3 linked regions of the Lonchura striata genome follow. The main gene of each other region encodes a partner of the protein of the gene in region 2 in a complex. Links are inferred from orthologs where the notes say so. Each region holds a gene or a part of one and is shown on either strand. Other genes may lie near its edges.

What was found.
Region 1: MED23 (region 2) and MED8 share a complex: the UniProt entries of both Homo sapiens proteins name them as parts of the mediator complex. The link is inferred for Lonchura striata from reciprocal best matches to the Homo sapiens genes MED23 and MED8.
Region 3: MED23 (region 2) and MED13 share a complex: the UniProt entries of both Homo sapiens proteins name them as parts of the mediator complex. The link is inferred for Lonchura striata from reciprocal best matches to the Homo sapiens genes MED23 and MED13.

Annotation. Positions count from the first base shown.
Region 1 is NC_134611.1:15,037,215-15,045,222, reverse strand, and holds the start of MED8 (mediator of RNA polymerase II transcription subunit 8), read right to left. Parts: upstream 3,006-8,008; 5' UTR 2,970-3,005; coding exon 2,964-2,969; intron 2,622-2,963; exon of another isoform or gene 2,513-2,621; coding exon of another isoform or gene 2,510-2,512; intron 180-2,509; coding exon 61-179; intron 1-60. Other genes in the region: KICSTOR complex protein SZT2, read left to right, coding at 3,052-3,081, 3,286-3,411, 3,568-3,741, 4,088-4,258, 6,089-6,220. UniProt on the Homo sapiens protein: Component of the Mediator complex, a coactivator involved in the regulated transcription of nearly all RNA polymerase II-dependent genes.
Region 2 is NC_134605.1:59,767,064-59,774,550, forward strand, and holds the start of MED23 (mediator of RNA polymerase II transcription subunit 23), read left to right. Parts: upstream 1-4,479; 5' UTR 4,480-4,565; coding exon 4,566-4,625; intron 4,626-7,378; coding exon 7,379-7,410; intron 7,411-7,487. UniProt on the Homo sapiens protein: Required for transcriptional activation subsequent to the assembly of the pre-initiation complex. Component of the Mediator complex, a coactivator involved in the regulated transcription of nearly all RNA polymerase II-dependent genes.
Region 3 is NC_134622.1:9,291,443-9,298,692, forward strand, and holds the start of MED13 (mediator of RNA polymerase II transcription subunit 13), read left to right. Parts: upstream 1-4,245; 5' UTR 4,246-4,368; coding exon 4,369-4,434; intron 4,435-6,247; coding exon 6,248-6,482; intron 6,483-7,250. UniProt on the Homo sapiens protein: Component of the Mediator complex, a coactivator involved in the regulated transcription of nearly all RNA polymerase II-dependent genes.

The DNA.
Region 1 (8,008 bases), on a different chromosome or scaffold from region 2:
ACAAGAAGATAATCTCCTGTCTGAAGAGCTTGGGCAGTGATCAACAGTGAGACACTTTACCATGTAAGGCGGTCATACTCATTCTCCAGCTTGTAGATAAAACTGACCAAGGAATTCTTCAGGTCGGCCACCTGACTGATGAGTGCCTCCAGGGTCAGTTCCAGCTGCTTCTCCTCTCTCTAAAAAAAGGCAAGACAGACAAGGGAGGAGGACAAAAATGTTGTGAATTCACGCCCATGCATCCATGATCCAATCTGTCCTACAGACAGCCTCCTCTTCAAAGGAAGCAGGGGCACTGGAGATAAAAATCCTACTATTTCACACTGACCGCTTTCCCTAGGGTCAGACTACTTAGGCAAGAGACTTGTGCCTGAGAGGAACGCTTGGCCAGCTGTCCTGTTAAAGATTTAGGTGAGTGAAGACATCATCACTTACACCACATCAAGCAAAGTCATCAAAACTAGCTCATGCCACCTTTGTAAACCACTTAAGCTAACCCAGAACAAAGAAGATTAGCATTCCCTCAGCCTTTTCTAAAGCAGCTGTGGGTGCTGTGATGTCTTTATCCAAAACAGTCTTTGCAAAATGAGTACCATGGACCCTGGACTAATAAAGTTTCTGCCAATCTTTACTTTCTTTCTGCCCATGTGACACTTCCAGCTGCCAAGGAAACTGGCAGCTCCTCCTGGCCTTGTGCCCCGTGGGCTGTGGGAGGCCCTGCCGTAACACAGACTGGCACTGTACCCACACACACACTTTAATCCTGCCTTTTGCTGGGATTACATTGTTTTAAGAAATCTTCCCCACTGACATCCCCTTCCGGGTGAGGGAGGATGGTGACAGACAAAGTGTCAAGACTGGGGATGTGTTGCCAAAGACATCAAGGCATGCCCTTGATTCTTGCAAAATCCCTCTAAACTCTTATCTACTCTAACTTACTCATACTACAGTATTGTGCAAAACATAATTAAAGTTCCAGCCCTAAGGAACTGCTCGAGTAAGTAGAGAACTGTACAATAATCCAAGAGGAGGGTGGGACAAAGCAATCAAATAATAGAAAGGGAATACCGATTGGGAAAGCAGATAGAGTGACTCACACTGTTGGCATGCTTGCTATTGGAATTGTTATTGTTCCGTTCAAATACACTGGCCCAATGTCAGCTTCATGGAGAGATTATCAGGCACCTTCCATGTTCACGAGAACACATTATTCTATTTTATTTGTACTCTGACAAGTTGGTAATCACTGATGGGACTTCATTTCACTTTAACCACCTTAGAACAGCTGAATCAACCTTAGTAAAATTTGATCCCCAGTCCAAGGAGTGGACTCATGGAACAGATTGCTGCTGGTTGTTCCACCTAGAGATAAAAGCACACACACATGTTGTGACGGGACTAGTCAGTTCCTGTCCAATTAAGAAATGTGCCTGCAACAGTTTGTGTGCAGTGTTTGTGCAAGGAGGTTAACTACTGCCTGCATTACAAGCTGGGCTGGTAGCCAGCGTTTTACTGCAGAGGTGCCAGGCATATGCACCCACAGCAATTCCCCTGGCCCCCCACCTGTGCTTATCCAAGAAGCCTTCAAGAGGATGAATAAACCCCATTGCACAAGGAGCACTCTCATGGCAGCAGAGCACTCCAACCCTCCTTCCCTAGGCTCTTCCCAAAGCCATCAGGATCTGGAAGCAGATGCAAGCAGTGCAAGATAAACACAGTAAGACTGACCCCTCCAAGAGGACACTTTGAGGAGTTTGTTAGCAATGTTAAATTGGCCTGAGGTAGTAAAGATAGGGCTTATGGTAAGGGTTCTGAAGGACCTCCTGATACTGAGCAACTGAGAGGGAAAGGTGAAATTCAGAGTAGGTAAAGGTAAAACAATGCAGACATCAAAACAAAGGAGAAAAAAAATCCTGACTGGCTAAACAAAGGGGAAAAAAACCCCATGACTTTCTGTACACAATGACATTATCTGAGCTGATAAGGTTGTAACTCAAAAAGATTTCAGGGTTATCTGAGGGTAACCCATGAAAACATCATCCCAATCCTGGAAAAGCAGTCAAAGAAGTAAAAGTGACTACAGGAGTTATTAGGACAGCTACGGAAACTAAGCATCATTATGTCACCATATAAATGGTGCACCTCCTTTGCATCTCGAATATAACATGTCACTCTTGTCCCCCGAACTGAAAAGGAATAGAGTAGGAATATGATAAAAGCAATGAGGATGGTGAAGAATATTCATAGTTAAAAAAGTAAACAACAAAACATACAACAAACCACCACAACCCAAAAAAACCCAAACAAACAAACAACCCAGTGAAAAAGACTGGCATGACGAAGTGGCTGAAACAAGGAGAGCCGATGTAACAAACCCTATAAACAAGGAACAGCGGGACAATCTGTTTTCACTTTCTTTTCCAGCGGGACAAGCAGATCTGTATGAGGCCAGCGGGCTACGCTTTCAAGCAAACCAAAGGAGGTGGATCTTTACAGCCTGCTAACCTACCATTAATGCTCTTTTCTTTGGACAATAAGGATGCTACAAATTCACAGCTCTTAATAAAGTAACGAGGTTCTCCTCGATCAGCGGCATTCCGTCCAAGCGGGAGCGGGGCGCTCAGCCGCGCACCCTCTCACCCCACAGCCCGCGGCAGCGAGGGGCACGGCGGAGCGGCAGCGAGGGGCACGGCGGAGCGGCAGCGAGGGGCAGCAAGGGGCACGGCGGAGGGGCAGCGAGGGGCACGGCGGAGCGGCAGCGAGGGGCACGGCGGAGCGGCAGCGAGGGGCACGGCGGAGCGACGGCGGAGCGGCAGCAAGGGGCACGGCACATGGCACAGCGCAGCGTCGCCGCGGCTGCTCGGGACGCGCTCGGCCGCCCGGCCGGGCTGCCGCAGCCCCGGGCGGGCGCGGCCCCGCGGAGCGCCCGGCCCCGCTCCCCGGCCCCGCTCCCCGGCCCTCACCTGCATGGCGGCGGCGGCGGCGATGGCGGCGGCGGCCCCGCCCCGCTGTCCCGGGAGAGCCGCGCTTCCGGGGCGGGCCCGCAGCGACATGGCGGCGGCCGAGCGGCCCGACGGGGAGGTGGGTGCGGGCCGCGGGAGCGGGGCTGGGGAGCCGAGCCGAGCCGAGCCGAGCCGAGCCGAGCCGAGCCGAGCCGAGCCGAGCGCGCAGGGGACGCGGCCGCCGTGGGCAGCGCGGGCCCGGAGCAGCCCGGGGTGAGCGGCGGCGCGGGCGCTGGCCGGGGCTGCTCCGGGGCTGACCCGCGCCGCTGTGCTCCCGCCGCAGGTGGAGGAGGCAGGGCACGTGTTCCTCCTGATGAAGAAGGACTATCGCATCTCCCGCAACGTGCGGCTCGCCTGGGTCCTCAGCCGCCTGCACCAGGTCATCCGGGCCGTGCCCGAGCCCGAGCTGGTGAGTTGGTGCTCGGGGCTGCATGGTGTCACCGCTGGTGCTGCGCCGCTCAGCAGCGCCTGCACCCTGCAGAGCATTTGAGCCCCTTTCTCTTCTTTGCTTCTTCCTTTGGTGTGGCTTGATGTTCTCGTATGTGCCGTTTGCTTGTTCTGGCAGGTGAAGTCAGAAAACGAGCTCGATGTTCTCAGCATCCTGCCCAATGGGTGGCAGCCAGACGAGCCGGTCCAGCCCAGGCCCTACCTCCTGGTCCCCTCTACACGGGTCACCTTCCTGGCCCGTCAGTACCGATTTGTGATTGAGCTTGATCTGAGCCCTTCCACGGGGATTGTGGTAAGAGCAGAAACTGCCTCTCTCTGGGGTGTTCTGCATTAAAACAGAAACCCATTTGTATTTACTGAGGAAAGGTTTATTGCTCTCGGTGTCAGTCTGAGCTTTTATAGAAGTCTTGTTTTTCCCGGGAGGGAACCATACTGTGCCCCTGCATGGGGATTTAATGGCAAATCCTGTTTCTCCATTGGATGCTTAATGTGTGACTTCTGTTCACAGGAGTTGTCACTATAATCCAGCTGCCGTTGCAGAAGGATGTTTGCTGTTGGCTCTGCACAGTGGGACACCCAACAGTGAAATTGAGGGTCCTAGGAGATGAAAAAGCTGTTCCCTTTCTCTCTTTCTGTAGGATGACTCAACGGGGGAGATAATTTTTGATGAAGTGTTTCATGCCCTTTCCCGATGCTTGGTGGGATTGTTAAGACCCTTTCGTATCCCTGGTTCAGACATTATCTACCAGCCAGAAATCTTTGTCACCATCCAGGTGTATTCCTCCATCATTGGCCTGCAGTCCCACCAGGTAAAGCTCAGGCTCTCCCTTGGCGCGGCGTGAGCAGCTCGCTGTGCTGTGCGGGTGTCCTGGGAGCACAAGGAAAGCGGGGAGGTGGCAGCTGGGCTCTGCTGCCTGTTATGCTGCAGGCTTGTCTCACTAAAACATGTGGCCTGGCATGATGCAGAAGTGTGTGTGAGCAACTTCTCCTTCCTGGGCAGGAAGCAGAGGTTTGTGTGGAGAATGCTGCCCTCAGGCATGATCTTAGAATTGGACCACAGGGAATATTTGCCTCATGTCGAATGTGTGCTTATTGTTGTTCTTGTTTTGTTGTTTGGGAGTTGTTTTTGTCTTTAATTTCTGTTGATTAATTATTTTTGCCTGTTTTAATTAGCTTGAAGCATTCAAGAAGAGCTTGTATGACCAAAAGCTTGTCTCCCTGTTCCAACTCTGTAGCAGTGGTTAATGCAAAAGTAGTTGTCTCTTCCTACAAACCTTATTTTTGCACTGATCTGAATATGCTGCTTCTTGCTGGAGGGAACAGCCAGCCCCAGTATTGAGATTTATCAGTGAGATTTTATTTGTGTCGTGACAGGTCTGTGTAATAAATTCAAGTCTGATTTATGGGGCCAGTGTTATTTTCGAAGTTCATCTTTGATCTCTTCTACCTTACAGTATTTTCACATAACTTATGTGTTTATGGTCGTGTATTTCATCCCTTTGCTAATACCAGGGGAAGTGCTTGGTAACAGGAGGAGCCTATAAGTCTATGCTTGTTCCCTCTCTCCCCTTCCCCAGCCCTCCCTGCCTAAGCCTTCTGCCAGGGTTTCTGTTGTACATGAGGAGTGTGGCCATCACTTTGATCTGTTCTGAGGTGTTGCTGGAGTAAGTGTAGCAGGAATTTCTCCATTTGCCATTGATGTATTATGTGTCATCTTGGCCTGCAGACCATCATGCTGTGCTTCAGTATCTCCCCTATTTACACTATATTGAGCACTCTGAAGTTGCTAGATTTTTCTTCTTTGGACCTCCCTAAATTCCCACTTTGTATATGAGGCCATGAACTGTGATCTCTGGGAACAGCTGGATAATTATTCTTTTATGGAGGAAAAGGTGTATTGTGTGTATCACTTATCCAGGAAAGACTTTCTGTGGTAATCATTTATTTCTCCTGTGCCACTGTGAGGTCTTGCCCATATGAGGCTGAGGAATGTGGATAACATGCAGCACCCCACCAATCTGCTGAGGGCTTTGTCTGCATGTTGTATCTTCTTTGTCTCTGGTTGTGGACAGGGACTGAGGGATTGCCTGTACCAGGGTGGCATCTGTAAACACAGGTGTCATGCCTGTCACCCTGGGGAGTTGCTGTGGTGGCAGGCTTCCTCTGTAAGCCACTCTAATGTAATGTCCACTCTAATTGCTTCTTTTCTTTATTTCAATTTACTGTTCCCCTTGGAAGATAATTTAATCAGTCTATAGGTAAGGTAGATTAGAAGAAGCAGGCCTTCCGTAGAAGCATCAGACTACAGTTCATGGTTTCTAACAATGATCCCACATCACTTTCTCCTAATAACTGTTTATCCTGGAGAAAGTCAAATGAAGTAGAAGTTTCTTGCCCAAGAAGGAGATTTCCTAAAGTGTCATGTAGGTGTCTGCTGTGGGATGCACGGCAATTGCCATGAGGTACCACTGCTCACACGCAGTTATTTTTGAGCAGGAACAGAGAGAAGTGGCCTGTGCTGTACCTGTGCTTTGTCAGGGATGTGTTTGACCTTTACTGTGCAGCACTGTGTTCACCATCTTGAGGGCTGGTGCTGTAAAATATTGACTTGGTGACTGACACGTGTGTCTTTGGGCCAGGTACTATTCCAGGGCTGTCAGCTGGATGAGACGAAGCGTGAGGCCTTTCTGCACCAAGTTTACACACAGCTCTGTGCCTTTGAAAACAAAGTGGCAGAGATGCTTCAGCAACAATATGAACCCAAACCACAGGTAAGGAGTGCAGAGGTAACTGGGCTCTCTTGGCTTCCTGGAGATGTGCACTCTGAGGCCCCGCTGAAGTGTGGTGGCAAGAGGAAAAGCAGCAGAGGTCTGCAGAAGGAACAGCTAAGGAGTTGGTGAGATAATGTTGTGGGATCCAGTAATGAGACATGAACACTGAGGAAGCAGAACTATTAAGTGTTGAGAAGGACTGGTGAGGATGGTTACCTCCCCCAAAGTTAATGTGTACTAAGACAGCCTGGCTGTATGTTATAGGAGAAATGGTAGGATGTGCTTTCTCTCTGAAGAAGGTGGTGGGAGAGGTGATTATGTCCATATAATTAATCTATAAATAGCTGTGAATATGCCCTTGTTACATTTCTTGAATAAAAATACTTATTTTTTACCATGAAAACTGGCCATGAAGCTGAATAAACAGCCACTTTTTTCATGAACTCCTTGAAATCTATGACAGATGCTGCTTAATAGCCATGGCTATATGTATCAGCAAATTAATGATAGAGTCCTAGTATGGTGTGGGTTGGAGGGGACATTTAAAGATCACCTCCCTTGACCTGCTGGCCATGCTGCTTTTGATCTTGCAGTCAAAGTCATTGCTGGTCTGGCTAAGGTTATTTAGTCCTTAGTTAGCAGTAGTTATTAGAGTTCGGGCAAAAAGGAAAAAAAAAGTCCCAGAATCAGATGACCAAGAGGCTATTGGTGATGTATTGCAGTTGCATATCTGAAGTGCTTGGAATCTCATATTCTAGCAGAAATTTGTATGTTTCAATGCTAAACTGCTGGTCCTGAAACAGGAAGTAGATTGCCGGAAGTAAATAACTCAACCGGTGAGTCCAGATGGTGTTTTTGCAGAGCTTTGTATACATTCCTGCTTGATGCAATATTTCTCTCATGGTAAATTACCCTGTAACTTCTTCCATGCAAATGGAGGAGAGAGACGCTCTCGCAGGCCAGAGGGACTGGCGAGTCCTGCCACAGGCTGTGGGGTGGAGGTGGAGGCCCCAGGGGAAGGGCAGGGACTGAAACATTTTTCACTTTTGAAGTTGCACTTGCTGCATCATTGTTAAAAAGTATCTGAATTAAAGGCATCTGGCAAATTAAAGTGACGGACAGTCAATATTTTTCGCTCACAGGCACGGAGTGCTCCCATTTGTGCATAGCAAAAGTTTAGTTAGTTCTAGTTTTGTTTTACAAGCTTCAATCATCTGTAGCTTTGAGGGAGGAGGGGGAGGGGTCTCAGCTATTCTCAGCATTAGCAGGAAAAACAAAGCAATGTTTTATTGCAGGGTTGAACTGCCAGAACCTTTTGGGGATTAAGGGACTAAGAATACAGTAGGTTTCTCACTGGTGTAATTATACAAATTTCAGGCTTTGCCTAGAGGATATTTTTCATAGAAGGTGCAGAAGCTTACCTACATTTGTTTATGTCATTATTGCATAATGAGGGCCATTTGAGTTGAATGCATAGGCACAAGACTTTGTCTTTATGAGGCTCTTTGCCCCCTCTGCTACAGAGCTTCATGAGTGAGAAGTAGCTGCCTCTACCTCTCCTGTGTTTCTGGGCTGAATATAATAAATTAAGTAGATGCTGAATAGCTGCAGCTTCTAAATGGCAGGGGGAGAAGGAGGTATTCACATCTCTTTAACTGGGAAGTGCTTTGCTCCACAGAGGAATTTTAGTGACCCCAAAGTGACCCCAATTTCCCCTTCTATTAGAAATCAGCTTAATATAAAGCTCTGAGAGGCTGTCCCTCCACTTTCAAGCAGCCTTGCCCAGCT
Region 2 (7,487 bases):
ATTACTTGGAGAGGCAGACACTATTATTCTGGCCATTTCCTATGCCTTTTTTTTTTTTTTTTTTTTTTTTTTTTTTTTTTTTTTTCTCCAAAGTTTTATCGCTGAGCACAGCATCATATGGTGTGGAATATCAGTTTGGCCAGCTGGGGTCTGATGTCCCAGCTGTGCCCCCTCCAGCCTCTTGTGCATTCCACACTACTCAGAGAGGAGGCTCTCAGTCTGTTTAAGAACTGCTCAGCAACAGCTAAAATGAACAGAATGTGATCCCATATACCTGATTTTGCTACTTTTACCCAATCATTGCTCTAACTTGACATACTATACTGTCTTCATGATGATTTACAATATTCTAGAACATTTTTCACCAATAAAATTCAATTATTAAACTTGATAACTATTAATCAAGAACCCAAACTTTTCTGTTTCAAGATCAACAGCCTCATATGTTAAAAATACTTATTTTCATCCCTACCAAAAGAAAATTCACATTAAAAAAATCAAACAATCCATATGATCAATACATAAGACTAAAAAAACCAATAAGGAAGAAGGACATAATTATCCTTTCTGCTCTCTATTACTAAATCATAACTCTGAGTGACTGTTCTGCATACAGACTGACACAATACCAATGCAGGGTGAGGGTATAAAAAAACCTATTCCCCCATAGTTACACTGCAGTCCTCAGTTCATCTGATACTTTCAGGAAGAAGAAGGTGTTTTCAAAGAACGCAGGCAGGACATCTCTGACATATACATGTTAACAAGCATGTCAGGAAACTGGGGAGGATAATTTCTGAATAACGCTGTGTTGTAGACACTTTCAATATTCACTGCTAAGAAGCTAAAAGTCCTCCAGGGCCATGAAGAGCCAGAAAGACCCTATACACCATACATTCTAAGATATCTTTGTACTCATTTGTCATTTGTCTTCTAAAATGAATAGCACTCAGGAAAAAAACATTTCAAAGTTTAAACATTTTTCTCATAAATGTCATTAAAATGGTCATTTTGATGAAGGTGGTTTTGCTAGAGTAATAGTATTTACAAATAATTTTGAAAAGTGCATTTCTTTTTCTGTGTCTGGGTGAAGAGAGTAATTTCATCCTCACCTCTTCTGCCTTGTTTGGTAAAATGTGTGGCTCTGTTACTCAGTACAGGCAGGGTCTCATAATGGTTCATGCCTTGGCAGATGGACCCAGGTGCAGTCGCTCCAGGGTTAATGGCAGTACGGTTTCTCCCCCTGGATCCTTGGCTCCCTCAGGCAAAGCAGGAAGATCTTTGCTTAGGCCTGACCTGCCCCAGCACCCCTTGCTCCCAGTTCCATCCCAATGAGATTCTCTGCTAAACTCTGACTGAGATAAATTCATCAGGTCCTCAAGTGTGCCCATCCCCATACACACACCCCTCTCCTTTACAATTGTGTCCCATGGGAAATATGATTTGTCCTAAAATAAGAAAACCAAGTGAGAATGGTGCTAAGATAAGAACGGACAGTGATCATTCCAGGAGGAACAGTATGGATATTCCACAAAGACAAATTTCAGAGACAGGGAGGTGTAATGATTTCGACTGACTTGGGCACACATCAGCCTGCAAAAGTGTTTAAACTACTGCTGGAGACTGGGCCAACTGGGCAGACTGGTCTCCCAGGCAGCAGGCAGCTTCCAGGCAGATCCCCCTGTCCTGGAAGGGATGCCTGCAGGGTACATTCAGCCTAAAGATGAGGAACACTCACTTTTGGGCAGGTGAATAAAAGCACCAAAACCCAGTCAGGTAAAGAGATAAAATCCTAAAGCATCTCCACAGGTGCTTTGCCATTGTGAATTCTGTAAGGCCAAAGACTGTAAATCTGTATATTTCCAGCTGGTTATAATATAAGCCGGTTATAGTGCATTTATATATTATTACATGTTTATATTGTATACTAATATATTATAATGTATACTAAATATTGCTTTGGCAATATTTAGACACTGTATTAGCAATAAATCTAATCATAACCATCTACATAATGTGTCATACTCTTTGCGCCTGACCAAGAGCCTTCTTTCTACTACTTTTCTACACAAAGGTAGGATCATAGGTAGCTCAGTTTTGTTAAAATGAGATCTGGTTAGACAAGATGTTAATTCAGGACAGAAATCACCATTTGAACCTCTTTGGGGGTTCAAGACCATTACATGGTTTCAGTTTTAAAATTCAAAATATGGTATAGTATTTGGGGCAAGTTGTAAACCAGGACCCTAACTAGGATTAGACCAAGTCTGTCTACTAAATATTACCATCTAGATTTAGGCTTACATGCTAAGTTCTATTTGGAATGTATGCTGGCTAGTGACTTAAAATCAAGGTAAAGTTGTATTAGGCAACTAATTTCCAGTCCTCTTATGAGTCACTGTGAGAATGGATTAGGAGGTTGGCACAAAATTTGAGTAGACACTTATACCCTGTGCATTGTCATTTTAATAATATATAAGGTAGTCTGTCCTGAATGGACAAATACTGACACTGGGTCTTGATGGGCATTTCAGATTGTTGTGCAACACTCTTTAAATAAATACACAATGAAGAGTACAAAGAACAATTCTTACAGAATAAATAACTTCACGTTAAGACCGAGGGCAGCCCAATTCTAAGAGCAAGACAAGCAAGCACAAGCAGACCTTCAATTGCATCCCCTCTGTTTTCAATGATCATCTGTTACGTACATTTAGTTAAATAATACACATGTAAGCATTATTTCTTTCCTAACCACTGCTGAAAAGAAAGCACTGACTTCAAAGCATCCTGTGCCTGTTGTCTACAAAACACATCTCTTCTAGCTGTGCAAGCACGGATGCCACACGTATCACTGTCCTCTGTTGTACTTCTTAAATTTACTTATAACATTTCTCATTGTTTATGTCATGTATTCTTCCAGGCCTATTTACACAAAAGCTGTTTACATTTAAAACAAATAATTGTCTATCCAATTCCATGTGAGTGTTTCCCCCACTCTGCTATTTTCCACTCAGCTCCAAGCCTGAAAACGTTAATTTTTCACTGCTCTGAGGCCTCTGGTTATCACCTTGATAGTTGATCAGACAGGGAGTTGATCAGCTTTATTTTTCTGTACAAGACGTAAGTTTGTACCTGTTTACCAGTACCAGCTGCATGTTTGCAGCTTAACATCCACAGACAGCTCAGAAAATAAAGTGTCAGCATCAAACACACACAAAATTTTAGCACTGTCTTGATTCAGCATTTTACATTTCTTTCTAGTATAAAAACATCTGCATATATATACACATATAAATATAATGCTCTCTATCAGATAGGAGGCTGTGCAGAGGTGTAGGTCAGCCACATCTCCCAGGTAGCAAGCTATAGGACAAAAGGAAATGGCCTCAAATAGCAACAGGGGAGGTTAGATTGGATATTGGGAAAAAATTCATCACTGAAAGGGTATTTAGGCATTTGAACAGACTGCTCGGGGAAGTGGTGGAATCACCATCCCTGGAAGTGTTGAAAAAATGTGTAGATGTAGCCCTTGGGGACATGATTTGGAGATCGGCTTGGCAGTCGAATTTGACATTCTTAGAGGTCTTTTCACAACTTAATGATCCCAAGATTCTAATGTAATACTCTTGTACTCATTTTTAAATGTAATACTATTGCATTTTACTGTGTCCAGCTCTGCCGAGAGCAACATGGAGCTGCTGGAGTGGCTCCAGTGGAGGCCTAAGAGGATGACTGGGGGACTGGAGCACTGCTCTTATGACGAGAAGCTGAGGGAGCCTCTTCAGCTTCGAGATAACTGGGAGGGGAACTCATCAGTGTCTATCAGTATGCGAAAGGAAGATGCCGGGATGGAGTTAGGCTCTTCTCAGTGGTGCCAAGCAACAGGACAAGAGACAACTGGCAGAAACTGATGCACATCCTGCAGAACATGAGGAAGAACTTCACTGTGCAGGTGATCAAGCACCAGAATAGATTGACCGGAGAGGCTGTCAAGAACTACCCGGATACAGTTTTGTGCCACGTGCTCTGGGATGACCCTGCTTCAGCAGGGAGGATGGAGCCGATGATCCACTGCGATTCCTTCCAACCCGACCCATCCTGCAGTGCTCTGATTCTGTTCTCCTGGATGTCTTTAGATAAACGCATTTTCAGATTGTTCTATGATTCACAGTAATTACACCAAACTGGGCTCAAGTAGAAACAGGGAGAGAAGCGGCTGGAGATCAGTCCTGCAGAGAGAGATCTCATAATAATGAGATCCTTACACCCTAATGCGGCTCCTTGCCGTAAGAACCAGAGCAGCATTTCGCCTAAATATTCCCCCCCCAAAAAAAAATTATTCAAATAAAATATTATACAAAAACCAAAGAAGCCTAAGCGAATATTTTTGCAAAAAGAAAAACAAAACCAAGACTTAAGACGCCGTCGCTTTCCCCACGTTGCCCGGAACGGCGGGGCCGAGCAGCGGCTTCCCGGGGAGCGGGATCGGGGCGCAGCTTCCGGCGGGAGGAGCGGCGGGAGGAGCGGCGGCGCCGGACCACGGCCCGGGGCCCGCCGGCCCCATGGCGATCCCCATGGTGCCCATGGAGACGCAGCTGCAGAGCATCTTCGAGGAGGTGGTGGTGAGTCCGTCCCCGGAGCGCCGCCGCTGCCGGGGCCGCCTCCGGGTCCCCGCGGCCCGCAGTGCTCCCTCTGGGGTGGGGAGCACCGAAGGAGATGAAAAGCCAGGTGGGAGAGGTGCTTTTGGTTTTCCTGGCGCTGTCGGTGCGGTGCAGCCCCGCCGCCGACCCCGGCCGTGTTTGCTGCTCCCGGCGGCGGCGGGGCCTTGGGCTTTGTAGGAAGGCTGGGACAGAGGACCGGCCGTAAAACAGCTTGCGTAGCCAGTACCGAATCACAGAGCGCTGAATTTGCTGTAAAATAAGCAGTCTAAAGAGTTCTGCAGGAGCCTAGGAGAAGATGGATGTCCCGAGTAGGCGAGACAGCATAATGGCATGATCGGATTGTGGGAATGCACACGCACAATGCTGCCTGCAAAACGAAGCACAGTTAACCCAAATGCTCCCTCCATTTTCCATACGACATTCTTTCCAGCATTCTACCCAGCTTTGCTGCCTGCCCATGGATGCATTCAAGGCCCCAGAACTGCTCACAGAACTCGAGGTGTGGCCATACCAAAGCTGAGTGCAGCAGGATAATCACCTCTTTTGTGTGAATGTTGAATGGGTTTGATGCATCCCAGGATGGGATTTGCCCTCCTGGCTGCTTGGGCTCTCCCTGCTGGCTCACACTGAGCTGCTGCTGAGCAGCACTCCCAGATCCATTTCTGCAGGGCTGGTCTCCAGCCGCTCCTGTCCCAGTTTATACTTGTGCCCAGCAGTTAACTCTTGTGCCCAGAGTACTTGTTTGTACTCTGTCCCAGGTACAGACTCTGGCATTTGCTAAATTTGATGGCACTGATTGCTCAGTGCGCCAGTCTATCCACATCCTTTTTTAAGGCCTCTCATCCCTCAAGAGAGTCAACAGCACCTGCCAGTTTAGTATCATCAGGAGGTTTGCTAATGGTGCATTTACCTCCTGCTGCATTTACCTCCTGCACCATTATATAAATATACTGAACTCTAGGAGCCCAGCGGAACACCACTGGTGACCCATCACCAGCCAGATGCAGCCCCACTGACTGCACCCCTTTGATCTCTGCCCTCCTGCCACTTCTTCACCCAGCACATTCTGAAGCTGTTTATCCCACAGTTCAACAGCTTGTCCAGAAGGATGCTATGAGGGGTAGTATTAAAAGCATTATCCAGAAAAAGTACTTCCACTGCCTTTTCTTTGTCCTCTTTAGGTGGAGAGGACAAATATCTGTCTATCATTACCTTATAAAAGATATTAAATTAGTTAAAGATATTAAATTAGTTGAACAGGACTTTCCCTTTGTGAAGCCAGGTCAGTGGGTTATTAATCACACTTGTGTGGAGCACAAATGAATGAGCTTCTTGGTAGATAGGAGACATTCACAGTTGGAAACACTGGGGTGACAGGAGCTGATCCTGAATGGGAGCCTGACTGACATTTCAGACAAAAAATAAGCTGATTCAAATGTCTGAAGTGGAAAGAATCTGTAGATTTCAGAGAAAGTGAAAATTATTTCCATGTGATGAATTTCAGTAGAGGAAAGAAAAGCCTAACCATTCTGTTTTAAGCTGGCATTATAAAATGCATGATGTACTTTTCTTTATGTGGTGTTAAGTTGCTTGTAGCATATCAATTGCCTACATGTGACTGATTCCTCATTTTGGCCATTCAGATTATTTTCACATTTTTAATGTTGTCATTTGCCTGTGTTGTCACGCTACCTGGTTTTATGTACTGTTATTTGTCTAAGATTCATAAGGAACAACAACAAAATAGTTCCTGAGAAAATTTCCCTGTATTTTTAGAGCCATAACTGATAAAATAGCAACTTACTGCTTTCCCTGCTGCTGGTACGGACTTGGTGGTCAGCATCAAACTTTACCTTGCTTTCTGTGCAGATCACATGAGTGTCAGCTTCTCCTTTGCTTCTTGAGTAGCAGTGGCAGACAATTCTGAGCCAAATGATGGAAAAGGAACACCAGCAAGTTGATTTTGTTACATGTTTCTGTGTCTGTAATGTAACAATGAAAACACATAATATCAGTGATAGATCACACCTGAGTATAATATGAAATTCTTACAAAAAGTAGGAAAGGCTTTAGGATAATATTTTCCAGAACCTATTTGCTGAAGTTCTAGAATAATGATGTAGAAGCCTTTGAGCAAAATGAAGTTGAAAAAGAGGGGGAGGGGGTAAAGGAAGGTCTTATTGAATATTCATATTTGGTTTTTTTATCTAGTACAAGACCATTACATTATTCAGTCGAATTTAAAAAGCAGTGGATCTAAATTTGGATGGGAAAGTAATTGTATTTAATTGATTTGTGTAACTGAATGTCATGAACATAAGAAGGGCAAAAACTTAATGGAATTCAAAAATGCTAATTTTTCAAATGATGAGAAGACAGCTGTAATAAGACAATCAACTTCTCCAGCTTTGGGAAGTGAATTGATCTCTAGATGTTTAGAAGACCAAAAAAAAACAAAAAACCACAAAAAACAAAACACAAAAACCAAAAAAAAACCAACCCAAAACAAAGAAACAAAGCCTTCATCTGGATCCACAACTTTTATATGTCTGTGTGAAAACAAAACAGTCTCATCTTTGGAATAGCAGAAGACACCTATCATTCTCTGGTACAGACCCATAACAATTGACTTTGTCTTTTGTGCTTCATCCTGTGGCCATGATTGTCATAGAAAACCTTCTAACATTAGCTCACTTGGGGTTTTTCTCTTACAGAAAACAGAAGTAATTGAAGAAGCTTTTCCTGGGTAAGTGTAATACTGTTTTATTTGTGAAGGTTTTGTGTGTAAATGCATTTTTCTACTTGTTTCACTGGGTACTGCTA
Region 3 (7,250 bases), on a different chromosome or scaffold from region 2:
CCTCCTCTCTGTTTTCCAGGAGGCTTTATTTCCCAAAGAGTACCAAGGGCAAGCAGTGTTTCAGGTGCAGAATTCACCTGCCATGGATGGGATTATTCTCCATTGTGTCTTGGTGTTCTCAGGTCCTGTGCATGGGACTGGGAAAGCTTCAAGGTTCTGAGCCAGGAAGGGTTTGAGTTCAAAATTCCCCAGTTGATGTCTTAGGTTTCTTCCTTCTTTTGTAGATATTTTATCAGCTCCTTATCCTGTGTTTAGGTTTACTGGATAAATGATGTTCTGCACTTGTGCTGGGATCCTACAGAAGGGTTTATTATGATGAATGTGCCAGGACTGATGAACCAGATCCCAAAATGCATTATGTGGAGAAATGAGCTGAGGTGCTCAAAACTGGGAGGTGCAGCCACACCAAAGCCAGTGTTAGACACTAATCCTCTCTTCCAGACACTGAGCTGTGCTGTTTGAGGGACAAGAAATGGGAAAATGATCCTGGAATCAATTCAGACTTGCAAGAACCATTATCCTGGATATCTAAATCTACCAAACCCCTTTTACCAAATGATTTATTTTTCCTCTTAGTGCTACACCCATACCATCTCCCACGTGCTTAATGCCGCTTTCCCCGATGTCCTCCATCCCCCTGGATTTCTCCGTGGGGAAGAGTGACTTGAGAACCTCTCCCGCAGGGACATCACGGTGCCGCTGGGACTCCCGAGGGGCTCGGGCTGGCCCCGGGCACCCAGGAATGCTCCTCGCAGCCCTGGGCTGCAGCCAGCCCAGGGAAAACCATCTGTTCCCTTTGGAAAGGGGTTTGCTTCCCCCCGGAGCCCTCCCCCCGCATCCCGGCTCCGGCCCCAGCTGCCGTGTTTCGATGAGCACTGAGGGAATGAATCTCCTGCGTTTAAAAATACTCTGCTTCTATTTAGATGAAAAGAAGAATCTTGCTTGCCTACACTGGCATACAAAAATAGGCTCAGTGTGAGTAAATCTTCAAAGTTTCTCTTGGCGAATATATCTAGCCTCACTTTTTTTTTTTTTTTTTAACTTATATGATAAGTTTATTTATAGAGTGTCCTTCTTTCCTCCTACTCTATCAAGACATTTGCAGAAGGTTGTCGCTCGTCTTGTTCAGGAGTCCTGAAATAATTTGCAGGGCCTTTGAAACATCATCGTGTTGCATAGTTGTGATCAACGTGCTGCTGTTGCATGAACATATCATATTTTAATGTGAATGTCAGGTTAGCTGAGACATTCGGGGCTTTCTTTGACTTTAGCTGCTTTACACTGGTTTGTGTTTTCGCTTGAACACTGCAGTAAAAATTCTGCATATAGTAATTTAAAATTTTCCATTTTACATGCAAGGCATTGCCTAGAAAATTAATGTGTAATATGAGAGGATTAGTAAGATGTATACACTTTCCAAACATCTCTTAAAAATAGCTTTCACTGTCACTGTAGCATCTTAATTCTGAATAATCTCACAGTCCTTCTGCAAATCTGTGCATGTAGTAACAGAGAAGCCACCTACTTCATCCTCTTGAACTGCATAATATGGATCTGGGCATGGAAAAAAATGGGTTTTGGAGTAGGGCTCTGCTTTGGCAGAGAGGCTGTCTGTGGAACTAGTGAGAGCATTAACACTTGCATTAAATATTAAAATCAGCTTTCACAATTCTTGCCTATCTTTTCAAAAAGGCTCCAACGGCCTCAGTTTGGAATTTGCTCCGTGGTGCAGATCTGGGGAATCCTCTGCCAAGAGGTGGAAGCTGAGGAAGGGGAGCCAAGGCGAGTGTTCCTGTGCTGGGGGACACTCTGTGCCCGGACTTTGGCCCAGGCTGACCGGACGTGCCCTGGGCTGGGCTCCGAATCCCGGGATATCCACCGGGACTGCTGAGTCCAACCCTCACGGGCCAAACCGGGATCAGCCCCAGGAACGGACAGGAGCCCCGGCAGGGATAAGGGGCCTTAGGGGTGTGTAACTATCGAACTGGGGGTGCCAAAAGACGCGCCAGGCTCTGCCCCGTGCTGCCAGGACATGGCACAACGGGCAGGAACCGATGTCTGAACGAGAGGAAGAAGGTGAAGAAGCGTCCAAGGACTGGTGCCAGTGTCCCAGCCATGCTCCTGTGCTCTGGGCTGCCCCTTCCCGGCGGCCCGGGAGCCGCGGGCCCGGCGGGAGCGGGACTCGAACCCGCGCCGCCGCCGCCGCCCGCGGCCGCTAGATGGCGCCGCCCCAACGAGCAAGGCGGGGGCTCCGCAGCGCCCCGCACGCCCCTGGCGGCCGCGCGCCGCCGCCGCACCCGCCTTCCCCCAGCGGCGCCGGCGGCCATGGCGGTGCGCGCCCACGTGACGGCGCGGCGGCCAATGGGAGCGCGGCAGGGGGGCCCCGACCGCCGTCCCTGCGGCCGCCATTAAAGAAAAAGGGTCTCGGAATTAGCCGGGAGCCGGATCCGCGCCCGCTCCGGCCATGGGGGACCCGCGCTGAGGCTCCCGCCGCCACAGGATGCCGCGGCCGGGCAGCCGCCGACAGAGGCACCGCTGAGGGGAGCCGACGCGCCGGCGGGGGCTTGGCGGCACCGACTCCGCCAGCGGCAGCAGCGGCCGCCTGTGTGTCGGCGGCGCCGGGAATTGCGGGGCTCCGACCCCTCGGGGCTGAGCAGAGCCCGGGGCTCGGCCGCCGCCTGCCCGCCCTGCCCGGGAGCCTCGGGGAGCCTCGGCGAGGGCGCCCTCCGCCCTCCGCCCCCGCGGGGACCCGCACCTGAGGGCAGCGAGCGCTCTCGGGGCTCCCCCGCCCCCCAGGACACACCGGCCGAAGACGATCGTTTTTTATATTCCAACCCCCCACCCCGCCTTTTTTTTTTTTTTTTTTTTTTTCCCGCTGTTTTGTTGGGGTTTTTTTTTGGTTTTTTTTTTTGTTTGTTTTTATTTTTTCCCCCTTTATTTTTAAAGGACCGGCCTCGCAGCCGAGCCGGTCCCGCCTCGCCCCCCCCGCGGCCGGGGGTCTGGCGGGGGTCGCTGCCCCCTCCCCGCCGTGACTCGGCGCGGTCCGGGCTCCCCGAAGAGACTTTGCGGGGTCCCCCCGAAGCCCCCGAGGACAGCTGGGGAGGACCAGGCTCCCCGAAGACACTCTGCGATTTTCCGCCTCCTCCTCCCCCGAAAAGGCTGGGGATCGGCCTCCCGGAGACTCCTCCATCCTTCCCCGAAGAGACTTCGAGGGTCACCCGCAATTTCCTCCTTCCACCCTTCTCCCCTCCCTCCTTCTCCCCACGGAAGGAATTTTTACCCAGCGGAGGATATTTTGGTTTCGCCCTCGCTGCGAGGAGTATTTCGTTTTGGGGAGGGGGGGTTTCCACACGGGAATTTAATCCCCCGCTGGGCTGCTAAGGAGACTTTTGCGGCCTTTCTCTCTCAAGGAATACCTTCCCCCCTCCCCTGCCCCCGCAGATGTTTTTTTGGGGTACACCCCAGGAAATTTTTCTTGCTCTGCCTTTACGAATTCTTCAGACTGGCCTTGCTTCTGGCCCCTGAAGTTTGTTTTTATGATTTTAAATTTTAATTTATTTGGAATATTTTTGGAGCAGGGGAGAAGAATCTGACCCCCCCACACCCTGTTGCCCTCGGACTCCGAAGAGACGAGCCTGGATTTTTCTCTCTCCCACGGCCAATCCTTCCCAGTCATTCCACAATTTGCCCCTTTCTCATCTGATGACTAAAGGAACAGGAGGAAGAGGAGGGGGGGTTCTGGATTAATTGCCCCCGCTGGATTATTTATTTTTCCTGCTTCTCTTGCTTGGCATCCGAGAAGAGAGGAAGGAGGGATGTCAACTGATTTTTACCCCTAGCCCCCTGGATTAATTACCCCATTTTTATTCTCTTGTTGGATCAATTACCCCTTCACCTTACCTCCTCTCCCTCCCCTCCTTATGCGAACGAGAAGACAAGAGGAACAGGGAGGATTTTGATCTTAATCTCCCGTCGTTGGATTACTTACCACCTCCCTCTTTCTGTTCTCCCCTTCCACGGCGGCTTTACACCCCCGATTGAGCTCCAGAAGACGAAAAAACGTTCTGAGTTCCTCTTTAATTTTTTTTTTTAATTTTATTTTTTTAAATATATTTTTACCCCCCTCTCCTATACCTCTCTGTCTCTCCTCGCGGGTTATTCCCCCTGCCACTATTTCGCGTGCGTGTGTCTGTAAATCCCTTATTTAATTGTATTATTATTTGTGCGTGTGCAGAGCCCCCCTCCCCCTTTCCCTCTCGCTGTCTGTCTCTCCCTCTCTCCCTCTCTCTCCCTCTCTCCCTCTCTGTCTGTCTCTTTCTTTCTTGTCGGAGGCTGTGGGATAATGGCGTGTGGGTTGTGGCTGTGAGGATGAGTTCCTGCTTCGTGCCGAACGGGGCCAGCCTGGAGGATTGCCATTCCAACCTCTTCTGCCTGGTGAGTGTCGGCCCCCGGCGCACACTCGCCCGGGGCCACCGAGGGAAGGGCTGGGAGCTCTGGGGAGGGGGAAGGGGCAGTGGAAGCAAAGCAGCCATTTTTAGCAGAGCTTCTGCTGGATGAGCCCTCGGAGTAGGCCCTGCCTGGAGCAGCCAACTCTCCCATGCCCCTCTGGTTCCCCTCCATCGCTGTCTGTCTCGCCTCGCCCCTCCCTCCGCTTTCTTCCTGGATAGTAGCCTCCCCGCAACTCGCCTTTTCCTTCCCTTTCCGTGCCTTCCAACTTTTCCTCCTTTCTCCCCTCTATCCCTGCCTCTGAGCCTTTTCTCACAAGGGAAGGGAGCTGCTGCTGCCTCTCCTCCCGGCCCCACATCTCGGGGAACTTTCTCTTTTCCCTCCTCGCTCGTGACATCCCAGGCGAAACCTCCCGTATTCCTCGCTTTTAAACGGATCCCTTTCCCTGCTTGCTTTTATTCTGGAGGGTTGCTTTTGGTGATGCCCTGCCTGTCTTGTGTTTTGATGTGCACCATTTTGTAGTCTTTTTTTAAGCCAAGTAGCACATCGTTCATATTGTTGAATTTTGGTAGCTCCAAAAGTAAATTCGATATAACTGGACTGTGATGCAATTTTTTGGTGTCTGTGCTGAGCTGTTTCATCAGCTTTTAATGCAAATGAGCTAATCTTAGCTGTCTGACTGATATTTATGATTCCAGAGATTGTTACAACAATCCTGTGCCAATCTGTGGCACTCGTATTTTTGGATGGAGGGGAATCTGGACGGCCTGACTATGTCTGCAGCCTGCACCAGGCCTGCAGCTCCAGATTAATAGTACAATTTTAAATCTGAAAGTCTTTCTCAAGTAGCAACTGTTGCAGACAACCTTTCATCCAAATTGCTCTCCTGCTGAAGGTAGGGAGGCTGCCATGTTAGGTTTAAATGTTGCAGTAATCTTTTGTGTGTTGTCATATTGGGAAGACAAAAAATAGTAACTTAGCAAATGCCAGCCTGCCTTGCTCTGCCTTCCCAAAGAGAACCCGGGGCAATGCCTCCCCTACCTGCCTTAAGGTGCTTGAGTGACAAAACTGAGAGCTAAAACTTGGTGTTGTGGTGGAGATAATCCAGGAATTGTCTGCTTCCCATTACACAGAGTAGTAACTCTTGCCCTGTGTAAAGTCAAATTAATTATTGCCTAGGAAGGGGTTTAGTGGATCATTATCAACGTGCTTGCAGGTCTAACGAGGATTTAAATCCTTGAAATGTGGTGTGAGGAATGAAAAGTATGATAGCTCTTGGTAAAATCAGTGAACACGAGAGACTTCCCGAGGGAAAGACAGAATTTTTTACCATGGAGAAACTTGTGAAATTTTCCCAAGTGGTAGATGGCTGGAAGAATGTGTGATTTACTGTATCACCTATTTCCATGGAGTAATCTTGGATGGAAAAGGCAGTGTATGCACAAGTAAAGAAAGCCAAAGATGTTCTTTGCTAAGGCAAGTGTTTAGGAGATTGGACTGTGTCAGTCTGTGAATAATAACATTACTCACTCGTCTTTCACTCTTTACTTTAAATCAAATCTGATTTTTCTCTGTGTAACCTTAAAGCTGCAGTGCAAACAAACAACTCTTGCTTTACTGCAGTTATTTAATGAGCTATTAAAGCAGGATCCCCGATTGTTCCCAATGTACCTCCTAAGGCACACAAAACTAACCAACGTGTTTCAATTCTGAGGGATCCCTTTCTCCCCGTGCCATCACCTCGAAGCAGGATGTGCTCGCTGGAGCTGCCTGAGCCCTGACAGTTCTTTCCTCTCTCCAGGCTGATCTGACTGGGATTAAATGGAAGCGCTACGTGTGGCAGGGCCCAACGTCTGCCCCCATCCTGTTCCCGGTGACGGAGGAGGATCCCATCCTCAGCAGCTTCAGCCGCTGCCTCAAGGCCGACGTGCTCAGCGTCTGGCGCCGGGACCAGAGGCCTGGGCGCAGGGAGCTCTGGATATTCTGGTGGGGGGATGACCCCAACTTTGCTGACCTGATCCATCATGACCTCTCAGGTAGGAGCTTGCTCACACCATCCTTTGGTCACTGGAAGTACTCAGGGCTGGCTTCTGACACCTGCACCAAGTCGAGTGTTGTCTCCAGAAAATAGAAATATATTGCTGTAACCCTCACCAAATTATTACAGCAATGATCAACCATCTGCTCTGTGTTCAGCTCACCTTGGACTGCTGGATTTTCAAGAAACAAGGGTTTTGCTCCCCACTTGTTCCCTTGGAAAAAAAAAAACCAAAACACAAGCCTATGAGTTTTGGCAGCTTCTTCATGAGAAAGCTGTGCTGAAAGCTGTGCCTGTGATTCACAAGTGATGTCTTAAACATGTTTTGATAAGATCCCTTTTGTTGGGCAATTAGAATTTTTAAATTCAAATAGTAAAACTCATTATGTAATAAGAAGTGTAGAGATCTGGGCAGCTCTTGAACTGTTTGGAGTTGTTTTGGTTGGAATTCACACCATCAGTGAGAAGCCCTCAGAAGGAGGCACCAGGAACTAACCAGCTATTCCCATGCAAAATCTGTAAACCTTCAGTTTTTGTGATTCCTCTCCCCCCCTTTTCCTGGTGCCCTGAACCTGCTTTCAAACCCAGCCCTTTGAAAGACTGACAATATTTGTATTTCTCAACAATGTTGTACTTCAAATTTGGCACCTTCCTTTGGAACTGTTTGCTTGTTGAGCTCGATTCCCCACGTAGATGGTTTCCAGCTGCTTATCAGCAAGGTGACGAAGTTAGATATTTAAATTGGGTGAGTCTAAAGGTGAGACTG